3 linked regions of the Rattus norvegicus genome follow. The protein of the gene in region 1 interacts with the protein of each later gene in a biochemical or structural test. Links are inferred from orthologs where the notes say so. Each region holds a gene or a part of one and is shown in the gene's direction. Other genes may lie near its edges.

Evidence for each region.
Region 2: of the proteins of Rig1 (region 1) and Rnf135, one has a biochemical effect on the other in vitro, tested with the Homo sapiens proteins (6 studies listed by BioGRID, with this or other methods). The link is inferred for Rattus norvegicus from reciprocal best matches to the Homo sapiens genes RIGI and RNF135.
Region 3: of the proteins of Rig1 (region 1) and Rnf125, one has a biochemical effect on the other in vitro, tested with the Homo sapiens proteins (3 studies listed by BioGRID and IntAct, with this or other methods). The link is inferred for Rattus norvegicus from reciprocal best matches to the Homo sapiens genes RIGI and RNF125.

The regions. Positions count from the first base shown.
Region 1 is NC_086023.1:60,147,538-60,153,870, reverse strand, and holds part of Rig1 (antiviral innate immune response receptor RIG-I), read left to right. Parts: intron 1-201; coding exon 202-383; intron 384-1,309; coding exon 1,310-1,457; intron 1,458-2,841; coding exon 2,842-2,964; intron 2,965-4,586; coding exon 4,587-4,694; intron 4,695-5,067; coding exon 5,068-5,221; intron 5,222-6,333.
Region 2 is NC_086028.1:65,673,044-65,679,376, forward strand, and holds part of Rnf135 (E3 ubiquitin-protein ligase RNF135), read left to right. Parts: exon of another isoform or gene 1-1,761; intron 1,762-3,408; coding exon 3,409-3,571; intron 3,572-3,694; exon of another isoform or gene 3,695-6,333.
Region 3 is NC_086036.1:12,544,098-12,549,506, forward strand, and holds part of Rnf125 (E3 ubiquitin-protein ligase RNF125), read left to right. Parts: intron 1-783; coding exon 784-878; intron 879-2,192; coding exon 2,193-2,283; intron 2,284-4,045; coding exon 4,046-4,153; intron 4,154-5,409. UniProt on the Homo sapiens protein: E3 ubiquitin-protein ligase that mediates ubiquitination and subsequent proteasomal degradation of target proteins, such as RIGI, MAVS/IPS1, IFIH1/MDA5, JAK1 and p53/TP53.

The DNA.
Region 1 (6,333 bases):
TGGTCACCTCCAAAGGCCGCCACCAGCTAGCGTCCAAGCTTGCTCCCCAGACTGTCCGTCGTCCAGTGACTGAGGCCGTGTTTGCAGATGGTTTTGAGTTCCCTTACCATGTATTCAAATAGAATTCCTGTGATTTTGATGTGAAAGCGTTTTTATCTTGGGCTCGCTTTAAGAAATCCCCATTTTTTTCTTTCTTTCCAGGTTACTGTGGACTTTATGAAGCCATCGAAACTTGGGACTTTCAAAAACTTGAAAAGTTAGAGGAACACAGATTACTTTTAAGACGTTTAGAGCCGGAATTTAAGGCCACAGTTAGCCCGACAGATATCCTTTCTGAAATATCTGAATGTTTGATTAATCAGGAATGTGAAGAAATCAGACAGGTAAGCCAGTACAGGTACTAAGTTTAAAGAAAAATGCTGACACATTGGAAATGCCCCGTTTTCTGTCGTGCTTTAGGCCCAAGGATAATCGAAACCCATAAAAGCTCTCATCTAGAAGACATAATGACTAGAATAGAATTTTTAAAGTGAATGGGGTAATTTTCTGTGCAAGACTATTGGAAAATTGACCTATTTGCAGTTCAAGTTGCCCCCTTACCTTTTCTTTGAATAGTGTTTTATGCACATGCAAATCACGTCAAGCAGGGCAACAAATGAAAAGAAAAATAGGCCAGGCTCTGGCGTGTAGCTACATTTATTACAGTCTCTCAGTCCCTTAACTAGTGTTCGGCAATCCATTTAGCTTCTCTAAGAAGCTAATGGAAGAAAAATGTACCTTATTAGCATGCTCTTAGGGTGAAACGAGACGGTGCGCACTAAGTATATCTGCCAGTTTGATGCATAGCAATATATACACCATGCATTTTAGTGATCATTAGAAATAAAAATCATAGAATACCTGCTTTGAAAAAAACCAAACCAAACTGCTGCTGTGTTGTTAGGCGTTTCCAAATGGCTCTGTATGCTGAGATATCCTTAGGGTGAACGGGTCGGTCGTTGTCTGGGTTAACTTTTTACCCTGGGATTGCCAGAGGCAATGGATGTAAGGATTCAGAAGATAACATTTGCCTTGACATATTGATAGCCCGTTATAAAGGACAAAGGTGAAGGGAAGAATAGTTTAAAAGCTAGTGCTGGGTAGGGCAAAAAAAAAAAAAAAAAAAAAAAAAAAAGATGCTAAGGCCCCTCGACCAGAGCTCACAGTGATCTCTACCAAGAACTGCTTGAGTAGATGTGGTTTCTTTAGCAAAGCTTGCAAGGAGAAAGGCTGAGCTGGCCAATCAGTGTGGTGCCTTTGTCTCCCCCAGATCTGCTTCACTAAAGGGAGGATGGCGGGTGCGGAGAAGATGGTCCAATGTCTTCTCAGATCCGATAAGGAGAACTGGCCAAAGGTTTTGCAGTTTGCTTTGGAGAAAGACAACAGCAAGTTTAGTGAACTGTGGCTCGTCGATAAAGGTGGGCTGCTCTGAGAAAGAGCTCTGAACCATGCTGGGCCCCACAGTTCTCCCCGACTTTACTTTCCATCAGAGACGCTGTTCACTTCACATACCTCAAGCCGTGGCCCTAGGACACAAGCGGTGGGAAGACACAAGCTGGGTCCTGGGAGGAAGGGAGCTACAAGTCATGGAATTAACCCACCCAGGTCAAAGAATTTGGAGAAGGAAGAATAAAGGCTTCCTGCCGAGATTTATAAGAGTTCTAGACCTAAAGGTTCGAACTGCGAGACTTATCTCCCTGTCAGAGTAGAGGCCGAGCGCTGGGAGTGATAGCTGTTGACTGGTTCTCTTGTCCAGAAGCCATCAGGAACTGAACAGAGCAAGGCGTAAACAGAGATTTGCTGTGATTAAGCCAACCTTATTTGGCTTCCGGAAAGTCACTTCTTGCTTTAAACCAGACCTTGATAAATACCCGAGTTTCTAGGTTCAGTTCTCACCTAGAACATCAGTCATTCCAGAAACTGTCTATGTCATTGGTCAGAGATGAAATCGTGAGTGTCCCTTTAGTGTGCTCAGGAGTGACTCTCCTGCGTCATTGTCCTGAGCTATGGAGTGGGGAGGGACTCCGATTACGCACTGCTAATAGCTGCACGTTCTACACTTGGAGTCTCGTAGTTCTAGGCGACACTGGAATTCAAACACCCAAGTGACCTTCAAACTCAAAATGATTCTTGCTGCTGTTTTAAGCTGACAAAGTGGGGCTGGTGAGATGGCTCAGCTCCTGTCACTGAGCCTGAAGAACCGAGTTCAATGTCTAGGCCCTACATGATAGAGAGAACCAATCCCCAGACAGGGTCCTCCACCTCCGCATACTCACTGTGTCATGTGTGACACACACAATAAACAAATCCATTTCAAAAGTAAATAAAATGTTGAGAAACTGCAAAGCGGGCTGGAGAGATGGCTCAGAGGTTAAGAGCACTGACGGTTCTCCCAGAGGCCCTGAGTTCAAATCCCAGAAACCACATGGTGGCTCGCAACCATCTGCAATGAGATCTGATGCCCTCTTCTGGTGTGTCTGAGGACAGCTACAGTGTACATATATAAATATGATAAATAAATAAATCTTTAAAAAAAAAGAAGGGGTTGGGGATTTAGCTCAGTGGTAGAGCGCTTGCCTAGCAAGCGCAAGGCCCTAGGTTCGGTCCCCAGCTCCGAAAAAAAGAAAAAAAGAAAAAAAGAAAAAAGAAAGAAAGAAAGAAAGAAAGAAAGAAAGAAAGAAACTGTGAAGTCATGGTTATAAGAGCTTTTCGGGGCTTCCTCAACCAAAACCGTAATCACATAGCGTTAAGATTCTAAGCTCTTATTTGTGTTTGTTTGTATGTTTGTTTGTCTTCACAAAGGTGTCAGAAGGGTTGACTGTAAGGCTGTTGAGGATGACGGAACAGAGATGGCCAGCATACAGATTTTCATTCAGGAAGAACCGGAGTGTCAGAATCTCAGTCAGAATCCCGGCCCTCCTTCAGGTACCCAGCATCACTTGTTCTTGTCCATGATGGTGTTTCCCCAGCACTTTGAAGCCTTTTGAAAAAAAAAAATCCTTTTTAAGGATGATTGAGAAAAGAAAGAGAATTTGTGGGGCGATAGAGACTTATAATCAGAATTCTGGTTCCCGTCTTCCATAGCCTCTGCTGCTTTTATAGCCTTCTACCCTGGAGTATATGTGTCTTTATATGTACCACCGTGCCCGTGGCATCCCAAAGCAGCTTTTCTCTCTGAAGAATACTTGTTTCTGAGCCACTTGTTCAGTCTCGTCTCAGGGTGCCAGGGCTGCCGTCCGAGAGCATGAGGTGACTGTGTGGCCGCTGTTTGCAGCCTCTGTGTGTGGGCTCACAGTAACTTCTCACACACAGGCTACTGTTCTGTTACCTGTGGTTGGACGAGGGCCCTAATGCTCCTTGAAATACACCTTTATTATAAAGAGACTAGAGGGCTAGAGAGATGGCTCAGTGGTTAAGGGCACTGACTGCTCTTCTAGAGGTCCTGAGTTCAAATCCCAGCAACCACATGGTGGCTCACAACCATCTGTAATGGGATCTGATGCCCTCTTCTGGTGTGTCTGAAGACAGTGACAGTGTACTCACATACATAGCATTAATTAAAAAAAAAAAAAAAAAAGAGAGAGAGAGAGACCAGAAAGTTGTAAGACAACTTTCAAACAAACAAAACATTTGTAAAAAATATATATCAGGAAGGAGATATATTAATGATGAATAGTGTTAAAAGATGTGATTTCTTAAAAACAGTATATATATGTGTACACACACACACACACACACACACACACACACACACACACACCACACACACACACATCTTACAAATGATGTCAGCAAGTGAATGACACAGGTTTTCATCCTAGGGATACACAGTCGATTTAAATATTTCGGACACACAGTGATCCATACATGACTTTTAAACAAAGGCGATTTTCTTCACCTAGAAAGTCTTTCTTTACAGTGGGACGGTTAGACACTCAGTTGCTTTGAGAACCTGGTGCCAACAGCTGGTTTTCTGGCTGTTTTTGAAGATCTGTTCTTACTTTGTAACAAGTGGCTATGTTCTGAATTAGGCCATTCTTGCTTTCCTTTTTCTTAGTAATGTTTCCATGATTAAGAAAGAAGTCACGGGGCTGGAGAGATGGCTCAGCATTTAAGGGCACTGACTGATCTTCCAGAGGTCATGAGTTCAATTCCTAGCAACCACATGATGGCTCATGAACATCTGTAATGGGATCTGATGCCCTCTTCTGGTGTGTCTGAAGACAGTGACAGTGTACTCATACACATAAAATAAAATAAATAAATGAATCTTTAAAAAGGAAGGAAGGAAGGAAGGGAGAGAGAGAGAGAGAGAGAGAGAGAGAGAGAGAGAGAGGAAGAATAATTCACTTTGGCCTTTCCCCTGCCTCCTTGCTGTTGATACTTTGTCATTGAGAGAGTAGAGTGTCCTTCAAAGGGGAAAGTGGGACAATTATTAAGAAGCAAGATCCCAAACCTCCTCAAATGGGGCATTGTTGCTAGGATCAGAACTCAGGTCCACTGAATGGCACAAACCCTTCAATAACTCTGTCCCTTCTGTATTACAGAAGCGTCTCCTAATAATTCACACAGCCCATTGAAACCAAGAAATTACCAACTGGAGCTTGCCCTGCCTGCCAAGAAAGGGAAAAATACAGTAATATGTGCTCCTACTGGTGAGTTAGTTGCTGCAACTCACAGAACCTTCTCTTTGCTTTTTCGTTTCCTTTTGGGTGCTGCAAAGCAAGGGGTTTTTCCGTATTTGCCATTGGGAGAGCTGTCCGGTCAGCAATCTCTCTGTGTTTCTCAAGGAAGCCGGTGGGAGATGAGTGCCCTCTTTTAGTTTGCTTTTGGTCCTTGCTCCTTGAACGCATGTTACTTAGGGAGAAGGTGGCATTTTTAAGCCATGGTTTAAAGTGTCACTGTCTGTGCAGAGGAAGGATTCGTTTATTTGTATCCCAATGGTGATACAGAAGCCAAAAATAATTACCATCCTGGAAAAACAGCTAACACCGCTTATCTCTTTCTTTTTCCTTCCCTTGCTAAAAGGTTGTGGAAAAACCTTTGTGTCGCTTCTCATATGCGAACATCATCTTAAAAACTTTCCGCACGGACAGAAAGGGAAAGTGGTCTTTTTTGCTAACCAGATCCCTGTGTATGAACAGCAGGCCACTGTGTTCTCACGATATTTCGAAAGATTTGGGTATGTACTACGATCAGTCCAACCTCTTTCGTCTTTTGTTTTTATTTTAAATTTCTAGCCTCTTTGTCTGGTTTTGGGGGTTTTGTTGTAGGGTATCACGTAGCTGGGGCTGTCCTCCAACTCACTCTGTAGCTGAGGTTGGCCTAGACGAGATGATCCTTTTGCTTCTACCTTCCAGCGCATTTGGCAGGCCTCGCTGTTCTGTGTTATGATTAAAAGAAAATTACCGGGTTTGGGGATTTAGCTCAGTGGTAGAGCACTTGCCTAGGAAGCGCAAGGCCCTGGGTTCGGTCCCCAGCTCCGGAAAAAAAAAAAAAAAAGAAAGAAAATTACCCCAGACTTAACTTTTAGAAGTAGTTCCTTTGTGGAATAACATTCTTTGTTTAACTTTACCAGAAATGCTAAGCCCTCATGGATTGCTCTGACCATTAATAACTTGGTGGCCAAATTTAACATTTAGGTGATGCACTGGTCTTTTTTTTTTTTTTTTGATTTTATCTTTCTTTTATTGATGAGTATTGCAGAAAACATCACGTTCCTTGTCATTTATAGAATTATTGTGAATATCATCATTATGTCTGATTTTACAGTGATTTTAGATTTTCCGTATAATTTCTCTGCACCCTCTGCTCCTCCCCCATCTCTGATCCCTTTGGTTTGCTTGGATACACAAGCGAGGTCATTTCTGTAGCTTGTGTTCAGGTTTTTTTTAGTACCTTCGTTTACCTCCGTCTTCCTGAAGACAAATGCAACAGAAGTCAATCAACTTCGCCCTGTGGTTGCCCTTACTTGTATCTATAAACTCATCTCCGATCATCAATGGCTTTCTTTTCTTTTCTTTCCATTTTTATTAAATTGGGTATTTCTTATTTACATTTCAAATGTTATTCCCTTTCCCGGTTTCCTGTCTATCAGCCCCCTAACTCCTCCCCCTCCCCTTTTATAAGGTTGTTCCCCTCCCCATCCACCCCCCCCACGCTGGTCATTTTTAATGATTTTATACTTTATTGGCTATTACTCTTTTAAAAATCGTTTATCTTCTAATGACTTGGAACATTGTGATCATTGGATCAGTTAGTTATAACCCCTTGCATTTCCTGGTCCCTGGCTTT
Region 2 (6,333 bases), on another chromosome or scaffold:
GAAGCTTTAAGTAGGCTGGGATCCATCCTTCCCACTCTACATGATTCACTCTCTAAATCCACCAACAATACCTAGGTAAATCCCACAGGTTTGAAAGTCCTCATCTTCAGTGTCCCTTAAAAATCTTTATTTATTTATTTATTTATTTATTTATTTTTGGTTCTTTTTTTCGGAGCTGGGGATCGAACCCAGGGCCTTGCGCTTCCTAGGCAAGCGCTCTACCACTGAGCTAAATCCCCAACCCCAAAAATCTTTTTAAAGATGTGTTTATCTTATTTTATGTTTTTGGGTGTTTCGTCTGCTTTTATGTGTGTGCACCGTGTGCATGCCCGATGTCTGAGTAGGGCAGAGGAAAGAGGACGATGGATCCCTTAGAATCAAAGCTATAGATGGGCGCGAGCCATCATGTGGGTACTGGGAATTGAACGCAGGTCGTGTGCAAGAACACTGACAAGCTAACAAGCTGACAAGCTAACTCTCCAGCCTCACTCAGTGACCTTGCAGAAAGTATTTTTATTATTGTGTGGAGGGGAGTTTGTGTGTGCCGGGGGGATTGTGTAGAGGGGAGGGTATGTGTGTTGAGAGGGTGTGTGTGCAGGGTCGGGTGTGTGGGGGTCAGAGCCCAGCTTTCCGGAGTCTGGGTTCCAGGAATCTAACTCGGGTCATCGGATTTGTGCAGCAAGCACCCCGCTTCCTTTTGAGATGGAGTTTTGTTGTTCACCAGGAACTCATGGTCCTCCTGTACCAGCCTCCTGAATCCTCCCGAGTTCCACTACGCTCAGTCCCCAGTTGCTTTATTTGCTTTTGTTTTATGTGGTAGGATCTCTAGCCCAGACTGGCCTTGAATTCAGTATATAATGAGAGCTGGCCATGAACTCCTGACCCTCCTTTCCTGTTTCTCTGTAGGTATGCAGTTTTTGCAACCTACTATTTATTTATTTATTTATTTATTTATTTATTTATTTATTTATTTATTGTATGCACGTGAGTACACTGTAGCTGACTTCAGACACATGAGAAGAGGGCATTGGATCCCACTGCAGATGGTTGTGAGCCACCATGTGGTTGCTGGGAATTGAACTCAGGCCCTCTGGAAGAGCAGTCAGTGCTCTTAACCACTGAGCCATCTCCAGCCCTTGGAAACAGTTCTTGGGAGAGCTTCTCTCAATGGCTGTGTATCACAAGTTGAGCTCAGCAGTGCTATGTAAGGCAAACATACAGTGCTTGTCTCCACTGTCTATGGGGCCACATTGATACTCCTTCGTCAAGCGTCCTTTCACCTGTGTCTGCTTCAGGACAACAGTCTCTCACATGTTTGCTTTAGCAAGACATCCTTCCACCTGTGAGCCCCAGCAAACAATCATTTGACATAAGTTTCCAAAGACCTAGAAGCTTCCACTTCGTTTCTCAACGTTTCCTTCTGGCTGTCTCCAATACAGCGCAGTTCCTCTGGGGAGTCTCCATCACTGTCTTGGTCTCATTCTTCCAAACACACAAGTCAAAAGCCTGGAAGTCATGACACTTCCTGTGCCTTAACCTGCCTAGCAGAGCACTGTAGCTCCAAGGCCAGCTGAAGATCTTCCAGCTCTACTCATGCCTGAGCTCCTCTGAGACTTCTCAAGTCCAGGCCGATGACAGTCTCTTGCCTGGGTTGTCATCGTAGCCCTACAGATGTTCCACTTTATCTTAGTTAGCTTTCTTCATCTAACTCATCCACCTGAAATACTCTGACGATGTCTGAATAACAGTGATAACCGGCTTCTGAAATGGAAAAAAGTTTATTTTAGGTCACTATGTATAGGAGTCCAGGGGCACTGGCAGGAATATGTGGTAGGGCAGAGCCTCACAACCCCAAGGCGGGGGAGAAAGGAATGGGACTGTGCTTCCAGCAACCCTGACAACCTTGCTCCACTCACCTGCTGAAGGCCTCACTGCCTCCCAGTCCCCTAAATCATCGCCCTCTGGGAGAGTAGCCTTCACCGATTTCCTTGAATGAATCAAACTCCCTGTCAGAGACTCTTAAGATTTCACATGCCTTTTTTTTTTTTTTAAGATTTATTTATTTTACGTATGTATGTACACTGTAGCTGTCTTCAGACACACCAGAAGAGGGCATCAGATCCCATTACAGATGGTTGTGAGCCACCATGTGGTTGCTGGGATTTGAACTCAGGACCTCTGGAAGAGCAGTCAGTGCTCTTAACCACTGAGCCATCTCTCCAGCCCCTCACATGCCTTTATGTTTGTTTTATCAGTTACTACAGCTGCAACCTTCTGACTTGTGTACTCAGGGCCATGAAGAAGGTATCAGGTAACTTCTTCTATTACTGTCTGCCTATTCCTTTGAGGCAGGGTCTCTCCTGGAACCAGGGACATCTGTTGGAACCAGCGAGCCACTGTGATCTTACTGAGATATTAGAAAAGGGGTTACAAGTGAGCGTGCTGTGGCTGGAGGAGTGAGATTACTGTGACCATCGGCCTGGCTCCGGATCAATGAGAGACCCTGTCTCAAGGGAATAGAGTGGAGAGTGACAGAGCAGGACACCTGACATTGTTTTCCATGTGCACACATACCACACACACACACACACACACACACACACACACACACACACACACATCAAAAAACATATAAAATAAAATAAAAAGAACCTTATAGATTGGGATATAGCTTAATAGGGTTCATGAACGAGTCTGGATTTGATTCCTAGCACCATAAAAAAATACATTAAGAAATAAATAATCGCTGGGTGTGGTGGCATATGCCCCTTAATCCCAGCACTTGGCAGATCTACCCAGAGGCAGGTAGATCCCTCTGAGTCTGAGTCCAGCCTGGGCTACAAAGCAAGTTCCAGGACAGCCAGGGCTACACAGAGGAACCCTGTTGAAAAACAAACAAGCAAGCAAGCAAGCAATGAATTGTGCGTAAAATGGGGCCAGAAATAGAGCTCAGCAGTTAAAAGCATTTGCTTTTCTAGATGAACTGGGGTTGATCTTCAGTCCCCACGTGGTAGCTCACAATTAACTGTAACTCCAACTCCCCAGAAAGAATACTGCCTGGAGGTGGTGCTGCTGCTTTTTCATTTCAGCACTCAGTAGGCAGAGGCAGGTGGACCTCTTGAGTCTGAGGCAGCCTGGCCTACACAGAGAAGCCCGGTCTCCAAAACAAAACAATAAAATAAAACAAAGCCTGTTAATACTTCCATTTAAAATTACAGCTGGGGGCTGGGGATTTAGCTCAGTGGTAGAGCGCTTGCCTAGGAAGCGCAAGGCCCTGGGTTCGGTCCCCAGCTCCGGAAAAAAAAGAAAAAAAAAAATTACAGCTGGAAGGCAGAGCTTGGGTGTATTTTATGAGTTCCTCAGTTGGTTTTCACTTCATTTCATTGTCCATTCTTCCTTGACCAACAGGATTCTTCCTCTGAGGAGGAATATCCCTTGGATTCTCCAAAGCTGGTGACTTTCAGTGCGTCTCAGAAGAAAATTCAGGAGATTCTCCGTGACCTAGAAAAAATTCAGGAAACCCTGCAAGGGAGTGTCACGGGGAACGAAGCTCCTAAAAAACAAGTTGAGGGTGAGCGGATAATTAGTAGAACAGGACCGATTAAGGAAGTTGGGTCTAGGCTTATACTTTTCAAAACCTACTTTTAATAAGGCTTATTAAATGCTTTAACTTCCCTTCTGGCCCACCACTTACCAGAGGTGGTGGAAAGGAAAAGTTGTTGGAGCAAATCCAGTCTGTGTTGTCAGGGTATCAGCGGTTCAGTTCACGGAGTCAGCAGTAGTAGTCGGATGCGCTCATGAACACCAGTCACGATTTGGCAACAGCAGGTCGATCCAGAAGAAACCATGATGTTCTGCTTGGTGCTGTTCCTTGGGGCAGTTTCAATATCCATCTGTCAGGATACCAGCAGCCTAGTTCAGTGGTGTCAGGATAGCAAACAGGAATCAGCATGCGTCAACAGGGGCAACCAGGGCCAGCAGGGATGCCAGGAGAAGTTCTCTGCTGTGCCTCTCCCAAGGAAGTGAAGACCAGTGAAGAGTAAGGCACAGCAACACCATCCAGGGTCGTCCACTGTCTGTTGGGTTATATTTATTTTCCTTCTAGACATCATCTGTCCTTTCACGTATCTGCTTTAGCAAAACACCATTTGACATAACTACCCAAGGAAACCGGAAGTTGCCTCTTCATTTGGGCAGGAATGGCAAAGTTGCTTCATTCTTTGGGGACAGGACTCAGAACATGGCTGTTTTCTTTTATTTCGGGGGTTTTGGGGGTTTCTGCGGCTTTTATTTTTGCATGTAAACCACTGGGGGAGTCTTGACGGTGGGCACCCAAGGGATTACACTGGAGTTATGAGGGTCCCAGACACTAACTGGGAAGTCAGGTGACAGAAACAATGATTCAGACCGATCGATCACACGATTACAGAGCTGGGGGCTCCAGCAGGGCTCCAGGTGGTCAGGGGTGGACATCTAAGGAAGCAGTAGCATCGGGAGGGGCAATCACTGGGCTGGCTTTGAGCAGCCTGGGTAACACCAAGGACAGAGGATCTGGTAGCCCCAGGGATCTCCAGTTCATGCCTTACTTGGCCAGTGGGTTCCTGAAGGGCCTGCCAGAAAACTTGGCTTTTTTGCCCAGCTCTTCCTCCATTCTAAGGATCTGATGCATGGCTGTTTTCACTGTGCTTGTATAAGCTGAGTAGGAGTGAGCCAAGCCATGGCGGTGGCTGTGTACACTTTGGGATATGAACTCAAGGTGTTTTCTGTGACATAGGCCCCAAGTGAAGCAAAACTCCTATTTTTAAGATGTGTGAACCCTGATCCTAGGTATGGCTTACCTTTGGTTTTGGCCCGAGGAGATTGCAGACAGGCTGACTTGGGCTTTTTGTTTTTATATTTACTCACACGTTGTGGTGGTCATGTGTGTGCTGAGCCTGTGGGGGGGGGGGGAAGTCAAGACAACTTGCAGGAATTGATTCTCTAACCAGCTCAGGCTGTTGGGTTAGCAACAGGTGCCTTTACCCATTGAACCATCTGTCTGGTTCCTGATTTCATTGCTTTTAGATTTATTTGTGTGTATGGGTGTTTTGTCTGCATGTATATCTAAGACACTTCGTGTATGTTTAGTGCCTTCAGAGGTCAGAAAATGGAGAGGGCCTCAGATCCCCCTGCTACTACACTTAGGGATGGTTGTGAGCCACTATATGGGTGCTGGAGTCCAAACAAGGGTCTTCAACATGAGCCACAAGTGCTCTTAACTGCTGGGCCATCTCTACAGCCCCTGTTTTCATTCTTTAAAAATTTTTTAATTTATTTATGTGAGTATTCTGTAGCTGTCTTCAGACACACCAGAAGAGGGCATCAGATCCCATTACAGATGGTTGTGAGCCACCATGTGGTTGCTGGGAATTGAACTCAAGACCTCTGGAAGAGCAGTCACTGCTCTTAACCACCGAGCCATCTCTCCAGGCCCCACCCCCACCCACCACCCACCCTGTTTTCATTTCTGAGATGAGATTTCTTTACGTTGCCCAAGCTGACCTCAAACTCCTAGGCTTATGTGATCCTCTTGCCTTCTGAATAGCTGGACTTCACCGTATCTTCCACCTTGCCTGACTGCTTTTTATTTTATGTCTTTTTAAGAAAAAAATTCTTTATGTGTTTGTTTGTTTATTCACTATTCATTGTGTATGTGTGTATTCGTGCCTATGATCTTCTGAACACATTTGCCACAATCTGTGTGCATGAGTAGGAGGATAATTTGGGGAGCATAATATGTGGGTGCTGAACCGAGATCATCAAGCTTGATGGCAAGTACTTTTACCCACTGAGCCATCTCATCAGCTTCCTTTTTACCTCCTAGTTAGTAAATGTTTTTATCAACAAGGCATGAAACTAAGCACAGCAGTACCTACCTCCAACCCCGGCCCTTGGGAGGTGGAGGTGGGAGCCTCAGTTCAAGGCCAACTTGGAGTACATGAGAGGGACCCTGTCTCAGAAAGAGTGTGGGTCAGGGTGTTGGGGGAGGGATAGCAGTAAAAAGGAAAACGGGCATGAAACTATACAATTAACTTTGTTTGTTTTGTGTTTTTGGGACAGGGTTTCTCTTTGTATTCCTCCCTGTCCTGGAGTTTGCCATACATTGGACTACATTGGACTACAGTCCAAGCTGGCCTTGAACTCGGCAAGCTTTTGAGTGCTGGAATTAAAGGTGTGAGCGACCACACCCAGCTCTACTTCTCAATAGAGCCTATCAAAAAGACAGTTATGCCTGAGTTTAGGGGCACACAACTTCAATTCCAGAACTCAAGAGGCAGAGGCAAGTGGGTCTCT
Region 3 (5,409 bases), on another chromosome or scaffold:
AGCTCAATATTTCGTTTCTGAAGTGTTAGGAGATTATAAGCACAACTTTTTTTTCCATCTTTATTAAATTGAGTATTTCTTATTTACATTTCAATTGTTATTCCCTTTTCCGGTTTCCATGCCAACATCCCCCTAACTCCTTCCCTTCCCCTTCTATATGGGTGTTCCCCTCCCCACCCTCCCCCCATTGCCGCCCTCCCCCCAACAATCTAGTTCACTGGGGGTTCAGTCTTAGGACCCAGGGCTTCCCCTTCCACTGGTGATCTTACTAGGATATTCATTGCTACCTATGAAGTCAGAGTCCAGGGTCAGTCCATGTATAGTCTTTAGGTAGTGGCTTAGTCCCTGGAAGCTCTGGTTGGTTGGCATTGTTGTTCATATGGGGTCTCAAGCCCCCTCAGTCATAAGCACAGCATTTATCACATTTATTATGTATTATTATATTATTATTAATATTACTATTATTATTACCTTTCGGTTTTTCAAGGCAGGGTTTCTCTGGGTGGCTCTGGCGGTCCTGATACTCCATCTGTAGACCTGGCTGGACCCAAACTTAGAGATCTGTCTGCTTCTGCCTCTCAAACGCTGGGATTAACAGTGTGGGCCACCACCAAAGTACATGCATTTCTCTTTAATAAGAAGGCCTGTACTTTGTGAGTGTTTTGTGAAAAAAAAAATCCAATTCATTAACTGTCCCAGTGTAACCCGATTTGAAAGTCATGAAGCCAGGTTACGTGAGGGCCCTGGCCAACAGGAGTTTTATCTTGAGTTTGCTTTGTGTAGGTCTGCCTCAGTGACATGAGGGCGCACATTAGGACGTGTGAGAAGTACATCGATAAATATGGCCCACTGCAAGAGCTTGGAGAGACCACTGCAAGGTTTGTTTGAATACAGTAGAGCGCCATGCTAAATTCAGCGTGTCTATGAGGAATTTAAGGCCAGCACTTGGGAGGCCGAGGCAAGAGTTGTGGCTTTGAGGCCATCCTGGGCTACAGAGTGAGGTACTCCTGTGAGGAAAGCCACTCAAAATGGGATTTCAGTACCCAAGTCTTACCTTTATTCTTTTTTTAATGTGTGTGTGTGTGTGTGTGTGTGTGTGTGTGTGTGTGTGTGTGTGTACCCAAGTATATGTCGGCACCATGCTGGTGCAGGATCCTGTAGAGGTCAGAGACTGTTGACTGCCCTGGGAGTGGAGTTACGAACAGTTTTGAACCCCACGTGGGTACTGGGGACTGAACCCGAGTCCTCTGCAAGAGCAGCCAGTGCTTTTAACCACTGAGCCGCCTCTCCAGCCTCAAATGCATGCATCTTAACCTAGAAATCCAAAGACTCCTCTGTTCCTTTCACTTTACTTGAAATTGCCCTGCTAATGCACCTGTCATCCCAGGGTTTGCTTTACAGATGGTGCCATGAATTTTAAATTGAGTATTTTTTTTTTTTTTTGCTGTAAACAGAGTACAGCTTCTGCTAGATTGACCAGGGGGGAGGAAGAAAGGCTAAAAAATAAGTTGAGAAAATATGGCTTTGACTGCAAGTTCATGGAGTTTATGAAAAATTTAAAATACACGGGAACTGACTTTAATTTCTTTTGCTAATTAAAATCATAACAAGGAATTGTAAAACTAAGCTCAGTGGCGCATGAGTATAACCAGTATGCAGGAAGTCAAGCCAGCAGGAGGACTGTGTAGTAACTTTGAGGACAGTTTGAACAACACAAGGAGATCCAAACAAAACCTCATCCCAGTGTGATGACGTGCCTGTAATCGCAGCATTCCGGGAGGCTGAGGCAGAGGGATTGCTGAGAGCTTGGGGAAAGCCTGAGCTACATGGCAAGACTCTTGTCTTAAAACAGAAAAGCAAGCTACATGTGGTGGTGTACAACCATAATCCTGGCACTTAGGAGATAGAAGCAGGAGGACCAAGGCAAGCCTGGTCTGTGTAGTGAGAACCTGATCCTTAGGGGAAAAAAAAAAAAGGAACTAGGGGTTGGGGGTTTAGCTTAGTGGTAGAGCACTTGAGCACTTGCCTAGCAAGCGCAAGGCCCTGGGTTCAGTCCTCAGCTCTGGAAAAAAAAGGGGAGGGGGACTAACCTAGCTGTGGTCTATACAACTCTTTTCTTTTTGAAATTTCTAACTAGGTAGCCGTTCTAGCTGACCACTATTTAAGTGATTGTGATTCTGTGCTATTTCCAGATGCGTGTGTCCATTTTGTCAGAGAGAACTGGATGAAGACTGCTTGCTGGATCATTGTATTATCCACCACAGATCAGAAAGGAGGCCTGTGGTAATGATTCTGATCTACCGTCTGTCTGTCTGTCTGTCTGTCGGCAGCGTTGGAGTTTAGGTGGCTCATGCCTGTGATCTCAGCACTTGAGAGGTGATGAAGGACAGGTGCTGTAGGTTTGAGGCAAACCCGGGCTACACAGAGAGTTCATGCCAGCCTGGGCTACAGGATTGGAACTGTATCTGCTCCTCCCACGGAGAAACGGTTCATCAGGAAGTCTGCTTACTTATTTTCCAGTTTTTAAAATTACTACATGTATTTATTACACACAGTTCACAAGTTGGGATGAGGGAACTTTTGGCACAACTGGCGTCCCTCTAAGCTTTTCACCAGCTCCGAGAAACTTTCTTTGATATTGTGTGGCTGGGCATGATGCTACAGGCCTTTGGAAGGGAAAAGCATGTGGAATCTTGTGAGTTTAGGACTAGCCTGGACTACATGGTGATTTTTCAGGTTCGTAGTTCTACAACTGTGATACCCTATACATTTTTTTAATTGTTAAGAAAAAGATAGCCAAGCAATGGTGACCCATGCCATTAATCCCAGTACTTGGGAGGCAAAGGGAGGTGGATCTCTTGAGTTTGAGGCCAGCCTGGTCTACAGAGTGAGTTCCAGGACAGCGAGGGCTACACAAAGAAACTCTGTCTTGAAAAACCAGAGAGAGAGAGAGAGAGAGAGAGAGAGAGAGAGAGAGAGAGAGAGAGAGAGAGAGAGGAGCGGGATGGTGGGTGGGGGAAGATACTCAGATGAAGAGAGGGCTAACTGTGTAGCGCTAGCTGACCTCGAACTTTCTTTGTAGACCAGACTGGTCTTGAACTCAGATCTTCCTGGCTAAAAATATAAATTTTGTTATTGAGCCAAGCATAGTAGTAGACAGGTGTTTAAGTCTAGCCTTAGCCACAGTGAATTGAAAGCTTGCTTTAGCTATGTGAGAAACAAAACCAAACAGTGCTGGGTTTTCAGTCACTAAAAACCTTAGTCAGTAGAATGCCTGCACACTAGCAGGAAGAGCAGAGTTCTGATCCCCAGTGCTCCCCTAAAACCTGCTGTAGCCCCAGGACTAGGAAGGAGTACAGAGAAGGTAGATTGCTGGAACTTGCTGACCAGCCAGCTAACCTAGACTAAATGCTTAGCTTCAGCCTCAATGAGAAGCTCTGGCTCAAAAAATATATTGAAAGAGGGGCTGAAGAGCTGGGTCAGTGTTTAGAAACACTTGCTGCTCTTACAGAGGACCAGAGTTCCAGGCCCAGCACCTACCTATGTGGTATCCTGCAGCAATCTTTATCTCTGGTTTCAGGATACCTGATGTTCTCTTCCAGGGTCCATGGGACCCGGCATGGATGTGGCACACACATCATACATGTGATACACATATTATACATGCAGGCCAACACTCACACACATAAAATAAAAGTCAGTAAATCATTTTAAATAAAGTCCTTTAAAAAAGGATGACAACTTAAATATATGAAGTGGAAACGAAAAATAAAAATAAATTAAAAACACAGGGTGAGAATAACTGAGGGCATTTACCTCTGACCTCTGACCTCCACGCAGACATGCGCACACATGACCCTGTACATATACACACAAACACATGAACACACACACATCACACACCATGAAACTAAACCAACAATGTTGATGTGTGTCCAACAGATTCATAGTTAAGATTCATATTCAATGGTGAGTTCTTTAAAAATCTAGCATTGATAATTATTTAAAACTTGTTATTGAACTACTTGTCTTTCCTTCTTTCCAGTTCTGCCCACTTTGCCATTCACAACCCAATGAAAGCCCAAGTACCTTCAGTGGCAGTTTAATTAGACATTTGCAAGTCAGCCACACTTTGTTTTACGACGATTTCATAGTAAGTATATATCTACCCTTTACATTATATTTCTGTGCAATCTGCGTTAAACTTACTCTTTATAATCCCCATGGGTAAAAGTATGCAAGAAAAAGTGAGCGTTAAGTACTGGCATTAAGGAGAAAGTCCTGACAGTCAAGTGCTTTGTAAAACTGACTACTAATGTTGAAGCAGTCTTCTTTAATCAGCTGCGATGGTGCATACTTTTGATCCCAGCACTTGTGAGGCAGAGGCAGGTGAGCTCTCTGAGTTAGCCTGGTCTACATAGTGAGCTCCAGGCCAGCCAGGGCCTCATGATAAGTTACTATATCAACAGACAAAAAATGAGCCGGAGCGGCCATTTTTTGTTTTATTTATAGTAGAGCTGATATGAAGTCTACATTTCACTTTAAAAAGTAAAATGAAGCGAGAAGGACATTTTACTTACATTTTCTCTCCATAAATGAAAAATAAATATAACTTCGCATTCTTTTTTTTAAAGATTAATTCATTTATTATATATAAGTACACTGTAGCTGTCTTCAGACACACCAGAAGAGGACATCGGATCTCTTTACAGATGGTTGTGAGCCACCATGTGGTTGCTGGGAATTGAACTCAGGACTTCTGGAAGAGTAGTCGGATGCTCTTAACTGCTGAGCCATCTCTCCAGCCCCTTAGCATTCTTTTTATGAGTACACTGTTGCTATCTTCTGACACACCAGAAGAGGGCAGCAGATTACATTACAAATGGTTGTGAGCCACCATGTGGTTGCTGGGAATTGAACTGGGGAACTCTGGAAGTCCAGCCAGTGTTCTTAAGCACTGAACCATTTCTCCAGCCCACTGTTAGCATTCTGAATCCTAGAGGTAGCCTTATTTTTTTGTCCAATGCTAGAGATCAACCCTAGGGTCTTGACCATTCTAGGAAAATACTAGTTATTCAACTCTGTCACTAGAAAACTAGCAGGAATGTGTAACTTTATTCCTGATATGCATGAAATATAGGTAACATCTTGACCAGAATTTCTTTCTTTTATTTTTCTAAATCTTTAAGTTTTAATGTACTTTTTATTTACATGTATATGTGTATGTGGGGAGGGAGTGCCCAAGGCAGTCAAATGTGGGCATCAGATTCCCTGGTGGGTATGTGCTATTGTGGAGTTCATGACCACTGGGGAAAGACCTACAGACATAATTCAGATTATAATTAAAGCAAATTTATTAAGGCTACGAGCAAGGCCTACAGTCTCTAACCTGACCACGCAGAAGCAGAT